Anolis sagrei: one gene and its partner. The protein of the gene in region 1 purifies or fractionates together with the protein of each later gene. This does not show direct contact. Links are inferred from orthologs where the notes say so. Each region holds a gene or a part of one and is shown on either strand. Other genes may lie near its edges. The genes, in order: L3MBTL3 and SAMD13.

Region 1 (3,910 bases):
GGTGGACTGAAACACCCATGATCTCTCATCTTTGCATCTGCTAGATAGGATGCGTGGGAGCTGCAGCCACACCATTAGAAGTACGACACTACCCTCACCCTGATATATGGGCTTAAAAATTAAACCAAAGTGGATTTCAAAATGGAGCAGTATCCAGTAAAGCTTGTGTTACATGAAATTAGCCCCCTCCCTCTTGCCATTCGAAAGGACAAGAGGGAGGGGGCCAGTCTAATGTCACTTGGTAGAGCAGGGGTCCTCAAACTTTTTAAACAGAGGGCCAGGTCACAGTCCCACAAACTGTTGGAGGGCCGGATTGTAATTTGAAAAAAGTATGAATGAATGCCTATGCACACTACACATATCTTATTTGTAGTGCAAAAAAACACTTAAAAACAATAAAATGAGAACAATTTTAACAAATATATTTCAGTGGGAAATGTGGGCCTGCTTTTGGCTGATGAGATAGGATTGTTGCAGTTGCATGCTTTCAAGTCGTTTCAGACTTAGGTTGACCCTGAGCGAGGGCTGAGTAAAGGACCTTGGAGGGCCATATTCGACCCTTGGGCCTTAGTTTGAGGATCCCTGGGGTAGAGAGTCCCACAGGCAAGGGGCCACCACTGGGAAAGCCCTGTCTCTTGTCTCCACAATTCGTGCTTGCGAGGATGGTGGAACTGAGAGCAGGGCCTCTCCCCTCGATCTTAGACTTCAGGATGGTTCATAGCAGGTGATACCTTCAGATAGGTAAGCAAGGCCAGAACCGTTCAGGGTTCCTATGTCATCATCAACTTTGCAACAAAACCACTTTCTCCAATGCTGGTTTGAAACTGCCTTGAATGGCCAGTGTAGAAAGGCTGGTGTTCACACCCAAATCACTTCCACCTATGCAGGTTCAGAACTGACCAAAGCGGAGAGTGTAGACGTGCCCATCCTTTTCATTCCCTGGAAGTGACTAGTACTAATAACAAGAATGCAGAAAGAAAGAGGGAGAAGAGGGGGTCGCTAAGGATATCAGAGACCCCCAAGCCTGGCCCTTGCCTCCTTTTATTATTCTCTCCGCGTTGGCGGAGGTGCTCCCTGAAGATGGGAGAAGGGGCGCTCTGGCTTGGGATGCCAGGCCGAGGCACAGAAAAGAAGGCAAGAGGAAGGCAGGCAGGAAGGAAGGCAGGCGGGAGACCCTGGGCGCCTCTTGCCGCGGAGAGGCCAAAGCAAGCAGCGCCCAGCCTCCGTCTCCAGCAGCAGCAGCAGAAAGCAGCAGTTTCCCCTTTTCCCAGCCCTGACTCCGCGGGCGCATGCTCAGTGGCGCCCGCAGCCCTGGACCATATTTGTCAGGACTTACTCGAGAGACGGAGGAAAATAGAGGAAAAAAGAAAGACGGAGAGAAAGACAGAAAGAAAGAGAAAGAGAGATTTTGGGGTGGGTAAGGAACCGCCTGGGGGAAGGGTAGGGGGGCGACCTTTTGAGGGAGGTGGGGAGGGTGGGTTGGAAAGGGATGAAAGTTGGAGGGGGAAAAAGAAAGGGAGAAAGCGAGCAAGGGAGAGCGAGCGAGCGCGCACCGCCTTTGGGTGGGAAGAAAAGGAGGGGGAAAGGGAGGCTGGGAAGGACGAGGAAAGAGGGGCCTGCATTCCTCCACAACCTCTGCCCAAGTGGAGGGAGAAAGTGGCCCCGCGGGTGGGTCGTGGCGGGGGAGGAAGCGGCAAAAGAGGAGGAACAAAAGAGAGGCGGAAAAGAGGGCTTTGAGCGGCGCTCAGACCCCCAAAGGAGGGGTTTGGGGGGGCTGGGGGAGGGAGGCAAGGCTGGGGGGCGCATTCATTCCTCAGCCTCTTCTCTTTCCCTTTCCCAGACCCCCCAAAACCCCTCAATGGGGGAGGGGGAGGGAGAAAAGACTAGAAAAACGCCTCTTTTCCTTTGATTTCCTTTGACACTTCTAAGGAGGCGTTTTTTGGGGGGGGGAGGGGGGAGACAGGAAGGCGCAGCTAAGCCAGAGCCTTGTGTCGTTTGGGGTCTCTGCTGCGGCAGGCAAGGCTGGGGGGCGTTGGGTTTGGGTGGAAAGGAAGAAAAAGGGGGGTGCGGGCAAGGAAGCCAAGGGAAGGCCGAAGGGAGGTGGACTTTCTCCCCTTCCCTTGTACCGGTTGCATGCGTTTGCGTTTTGGGAAAGGAGGAGGAGGAGGAGAAAGAGGGGGAAAAAAGGCCTGTGCGCCGCCGCCGCCGCTGCTGCGCTTGCCGGGGATTATTGCTCTCTTGCATTTCCAAACAAGCGCCTTCTTTCTTTCTTTTCCTTCTTTCCTTTCCTTTTCCCTACGTTGCCTTTCTCCCTCGGTGCCTTGTGTGTGCCTCCCTCCAATGCCTTGCCCATTTATTATTATTATATACGGACACGCACACACACACACACACCAGGATCATACGGAGCTCCCCCCAATTCCGCCATTTTGGGCAAACTTTGCACACACGCGCGAGCGCGCGCGCGCCGAGACGGGAGGCGCTCCTCGGCACTCTCTCTCTCTCTCTCTCCCCCCGGATTCCCCGGCATGGATTCCCTCCCTGGGCTCCCTCTGGCTCTCCATTCTAAAGTAGAGGCAGACCCCCTCGGTGGGCGCGGAGCGGAGGAGAAAGCGCGGCTCGCAAAGCTTGCAAAGCCTGGCAGCAGCAACTCCTTCCTCCTCCTCCTTTCCTTTTTCTCTTCTTTCCTGGAGATGTGCGTGCGCGCGCAAAGGGGTTTCTTTCTCTCTCTTTTTCTTCTTTTTCCGCCTCTCTTTCCCTCTCTCGTGTGAAGCCCACAGAAGTGCCCCTCCCCCACGAGGCAGGCCACTCCAACAATGGTTTACAGTGCGTTTTGGGCGACACTTGTTCTCCTTTTGGAGGGGAGGGAGAAGGAGAAGGGGGGAAGAAGGCGCTCGCCGCGGGTGCGGACGGAGCGCGCCTGGAAACCAAGCCAGGCCTTCCTGCTGCGTGCATATATCTGTATCTCTATCTCAGGAGCGTGGGTTTGGGTGGAAGGCAGCCCTTCAAGCCTCCCCACCCCCCCACACTCAGGCGGAGGGAGGACGGGGAAAAGCCACGCGCGACAGTTGGGGGAGAAAAAAGTTGGGAAAGGGAGCCGTCTCCAAAAAGGGGGACCACCTTCCAGAATCTTTCCGCTTCCCTGCTTAGAATCGTAAAGTTGGAAGAGAACCTCATGGGCCATCCAGTCCAACCCGCTGCCAAGAAGCAGGAAAACAGCATTCAAAGCATACCCGACAGATGGCCATCCAGCCTCTGCTTAAAAGCTTCCACATTCCGGGGCAGAGAGTTCCACTGCTGGACGGCTTTCACAGTCAGGAAGTTCTTTCTCATGTTCAGATGGAATCTCTTTCTTTGTAGTTTGATGCCACTGTCCTTTCTTATTGTATTTCCTCCCCTAGAGAGGAGGCTGGAGAGGCACAGGCTCAAATATGTTCGGGGGGGGGGGGAGAGACTCTCGAAGGGTTTCCTTCACTCAAGTTTGGGAAGAGCGAGGACTCTCTCCAAAGGGAGCCCTTTCCCAAAGCGACCCAATAGGATTCTGGAAGACCCCAGATCCATATCTTTGAGAGGGTCAATGTGTCCAGGAAGAAAGGAAGAAGCTGGAAAGGGGTCCCTTCACAAAGTTGGGACAACACAGCCCTCTCCCAAAGGGGACTTTTCCCCAGAAGTGCGGTGGAGGCTTCTTCTTTGGAAGCTTTTAAACAGAGGCTGGATGGCCATCTGCCGGGGGTGCTTTGATTGCAATTTTCCTGCTTCTTGGCAGGATGGGGTTGGAGTGGATGGCTCACGAGGTCTCTTCCAACTCTGATTCTATAATTCTTTCACCAGGCTTGGAAAACAGAGAGAGAGAGACGCCTTCTTTGTCTCTCTAGTGTAATTCTGGAGAGGCGCGTTAAAATGCGTCCAA
Region 2 (3,910 bases), on another chromosome or scaffold:
CCTCAAAGGGCTACCTAGAAATACAAATATCGGTTCTGGAAACATTTTTCCATAGTTCCAGATTGGTGAGGGTTTTGGATTGTGGCAACAGTGAAGGAAAGTCATTCTGTGCATGTTCAATTTTCTTAATAGCTATCCAAAACTAATGTCTGCTATAGAAAACAAGATTTTGGTGTCAAGCCTGGGATCTGTTTATCTCCAAGGAGAATGAGATTTTATATTTAAGAATGTACAAACACTTAGAATTGATGCATTTAACACTGTTTTAACTGCTATGGTTCAGTGCGCTGGGATCATGGGAGTTGTAGTTGTACAAGGCAGTGACATCTCCGGACCATCCTCTGTTCTGATATCAGCCAGCACGCCAATGCCTTAAATCAAAAAATAGTTTTCTAAGATCTACAGAGATACTCACAGGAACACATCAGCAAGCAAGAGTCCAAAAGCGGCAGGTTAAAACCCGGAACCTCAAGCCACAGCTGATACCTAATGAGAAACCCTCCTGGGCACACAAAAGACTGGGCGACTTAGAAGGCGCTAAACAGACTGTTCTTTGGCACCACGAGATGCAAGGCCAAACTTAAGAAATGGGGCCACAAAGTGGAGTCCACGACATGCAAGTGTGGAGAAGAGCAAACCACAGACTACCTTTTACAATTGCAGCCTGAGCCCTGCCACATGCACAATGGAGAACCTTCTTACAGCAACACCAGAGGCACTCCAAGTGGCCAGCTACTGGTCAACGGACATTTAGCATAATGCCAAGTTTTTAAAAAAATATTGTGTTTTTTTTTAAAAAAAAAATACATTACAATCATACCCCTGGTTTGCTTCTGATACAATAAATAAATAAGGTCTTTAGATTTACTGTCAGAGTAATGGTGCCTTCCCAAACTTTAACTCTCAGGAATCCACAGCATTGAGCCATGGGAGTTAAGTGGTATAAAACCGCATTAATTCTGCAGTGTAGATGCACCCTAAGATACAATGGTTTTCTTTTTTCTTTTTCAAAATAATTTTTGCTGACACAACAATAAAGACACAACAGTCTCATTCAGGCCCCTTCTATACTGCCATATATGCCAGGATGTGATCCCAGGTTATCTGCTTTAAAATGGATTATATGAGTCTCCACTGCCAGATAGTCTGGGATAAGCAGATAATCTGGGATCAAGTCCTGGGATATAGGGGCAGTGTGGAAGGGACTTCAGTTTGTTGTTCAATCTTGTTGTCAAAGCTCACTTACTAACAAAATGGGCTCTGCATGTTGTTTATATTTTGAAAATTAAAGAAAATCCATTTTTTCATGCCCGAATAACATTCTTTCCATCCTAATGCTTTTCAATTACCACTCCCAGCAATTCCAAAAAAAGTGCCTGGGTGTCCTTAAAAACAGGAAAACAACTTCACCACATGTTGTTGACCTATAACTTGAACACCCACAGACATGGGGCCAATTTCTGTGTTTCATGCTCTCCATCTGAACATATTGAACTTATATCTTTTGGGGGAACACACAATGCAAACAGGACAGGACAAGAAGGTCCAAAGATATCCTATTTGTGGGCTGTTTGCTACACTTTACGCCAAAGAAGCTTGCTTTCCGTCCATCCTTGAAAATGTTGTGAAAGATGGGAGTGTGAGAAAGAAAACACAATGTTATATTTGATTTTATTTCAACAAGAGACAGAAATGAGCCTATTTAGAAAAGTAGAAACACCGAGTGCATTGTCCTAAATCCCTAAACAGCGTTGAGCGAGGAAGCTGCAAAGCTTTTAACATCATTCCATGTGTCAGAACCGTCTTGTGATATGACAAAACTTCCCACATACCATTAGAGGCAAACTTTTTTTAAAAATGCAGCATTTCAGCCAGGATTTGGAAACGATTTTGAATAAACAAACCCAACACTAGCATTCCTCTCTCTGCAATGACAAGGCGAAAGGGAAACATTGAAAATAGTGAAAATATACATATGACACACAACAGTTTGCTTTGCAGGAATCGGAAATAGCTGGTGTTTCAATAAATGGATGGAGAAATCACTAGTTGTGTACTGTGTGTATGTTTTCCCTCCCAGAGTGTGCAGTAGTCCTCTCCCTGAATATGTTTCTTGATCCCTTTGGGAGCATCCTCAGTGCATCCCTCTTGCTCTCCCAGTTTTTGGATTGGCTCAATTTCCCTAAACACACTCCAACACAAAACATGCCTTTGGAAAGCAGCTGCTTCAAGGAAGCGCTCACCACTAACTAGGTCAGGAACAAAAGATCTGGGGAGCAAAATCATGGAAAGGAAGGGAAGCAGCCCACATTGCCCATGGAGCATGTCGCAGAGCTGACTTACCTTTCTTTTTCCTATACACACGCATATATATACATTGCCAGCAAAAGCCTGCCTTCCTCTGAGCACAGCAGCAGCCACATGCAGAGTTGCAACCAGAACCAACCACAGCCAATCAGCAGCCAGCTGTCAGGGAGGAAAGCATGCTGGGAGACGTAGTCCCCACCTTGCTAAAAACTAACCTGATGGGAATAAAATGTCTTTACAGATCCTCCATGGAGATCCTCCTGTTTGACAGCTGGATTTGCAGCTTGGAGCTGCCATTCCCAGCACACACACACAAGCACATGCTTTTGCATGCAAAACTCCTCTCAAACCAGTGGGAGCAGTTTCTCAGCAGATGCTGAAAAGTCAGCACATTCCTCTGCATCCCTGGTGAATGATTCGCCATCGATTTGGAAAAATGTACATACATTTCTTTTTTTTCTGAAATTAATTTTTATTGAAAGATTATATGGTTACATAGAAAGTGGGGGGATATTGTGAAGAAGATAGAAAAGTAGGAAATAAAATAGAGTAGGAGAAGTTGCCGGGATGTAGAGAGGAGGAAGGAGAGGAAAAAAATTAAAACATTATTTTAGAAAATTATTATTATTTTTTGAAAGATGCTTAACCCTATGGTGTGCAAAACCCCCTTCAATAAAAAAGAAGGGAGAAAAAAAAGAAAAAAAGCAAGGGAAAAGGAAAAACAATAACAAAAAAGGGGTATTTATTTATTTATCGTGTCAGGGGCAACCAGACAATTGTATTATGTTTCTAACAGAACAAAACAAACAGACAAAACACAAATTTTGCAAGATTGGTAGTTGATTCAATGTCCTTTGACCAGTATCTGGCCACTTGGAATGCCTCTGGTGTTGCCGCAAGAAGGTCCTCCATTGTGCATGTGGCAGGGCTCAGGTTGCATTGCAGCAGGTGGTCAGTGGTTTGCTCCTCTCCACACTCGCATGTCGTGGATTCCACCCTGTAGCCCCATTTCCTAAGGTTGGCTCTGCATCTCATGGTGCCAGAGTGCAGTCTGTTCAGCTCCTGTGTGCCCAGGGGGGAGTCTCTCATTTGGTATCAGCCATTGGTTGAAATTCTGGGTTTTAGCCTGCCACTTTTGGACTCTCGCTTGCTGAGGTGTTCCAGTAAGTGTCCCTGTAGATCTTAAAAAACTATTTCTTGATTTAAGTCGTTGACGTGCTGGCTGATACCCAAACAAGGGATGAGCTGGAGATGTCACTGCCTTGGTCCTTTCACTACTGGCTGCTACTTCCCGGCGGATGTCAGGTGGTGCAATACCAGCTAAACAGTGTAATTTCTCCAGTGGTGTAGGGCGCAGACACCCCGTGATAATGCGGCATGTCTCATTAAGAGCCACATCTACTGTTTTAGCGTGGTGAGATGTGACGAAAGCTGACTGGCACAACCTGGGGATCACAACCAGACACAGTGAAGACATCTGCCCTTGCGCTCTGCTACTCTGCTGCTGAGTATGCATGCCCAGTGTGGAACACATCTCACTAAAAAAAGGGGTGACTTTGATCTAGTCTTTGAAGATCTCTTTTTTTCCTGCATAAGTGTTGAG

The links.
Region 2: the proteins of L3MBTL3 (region 1) and SAMD13 purify together in Homo sapiens (affinity purification with mass spectrometry; 3 studies listed by BioGRID and IntAct, counting the BioPlex papers as one, with this or other methods). This does not show direct contact. The link is inferred for Anolis sagrei from reciprocal best matches to the Homo sapiens genes L3MBTL3 and SAMD13.

Annotation. Positions count from the first base shown.
Region 1 is NC_090021.1:83,146,728-83,150,637, reverse strand, and holds the start of L3MBTL3 (lethal(3)malignant brain tumor-like protein 3), read left to right. Parts: upstream 1-1,236; 5' UTR 1,237-1,413; intron 1,414-3,910. UniProt on the Homo sapiens protein: Is a negative regulator of Notch target genes expression, required for RBPJ-mediated transcriptional repression. It recruits KDM1A to Notch-responsive elements and promotes KDM1A-mediated H3K4me demethylation.
Region 2 is NC_090024.1:155,386,591-155,390,500, forward strand, and holds the start of SAMD13 (sterile alpha motif domain-containing protein 13), read right to left. Parts: upstream 2,606-3,910; 5' UTR 2,523-2,605; intron 2,442-2,522; exon of another isoform or gene 2,344-2,441; intron 1-2,343.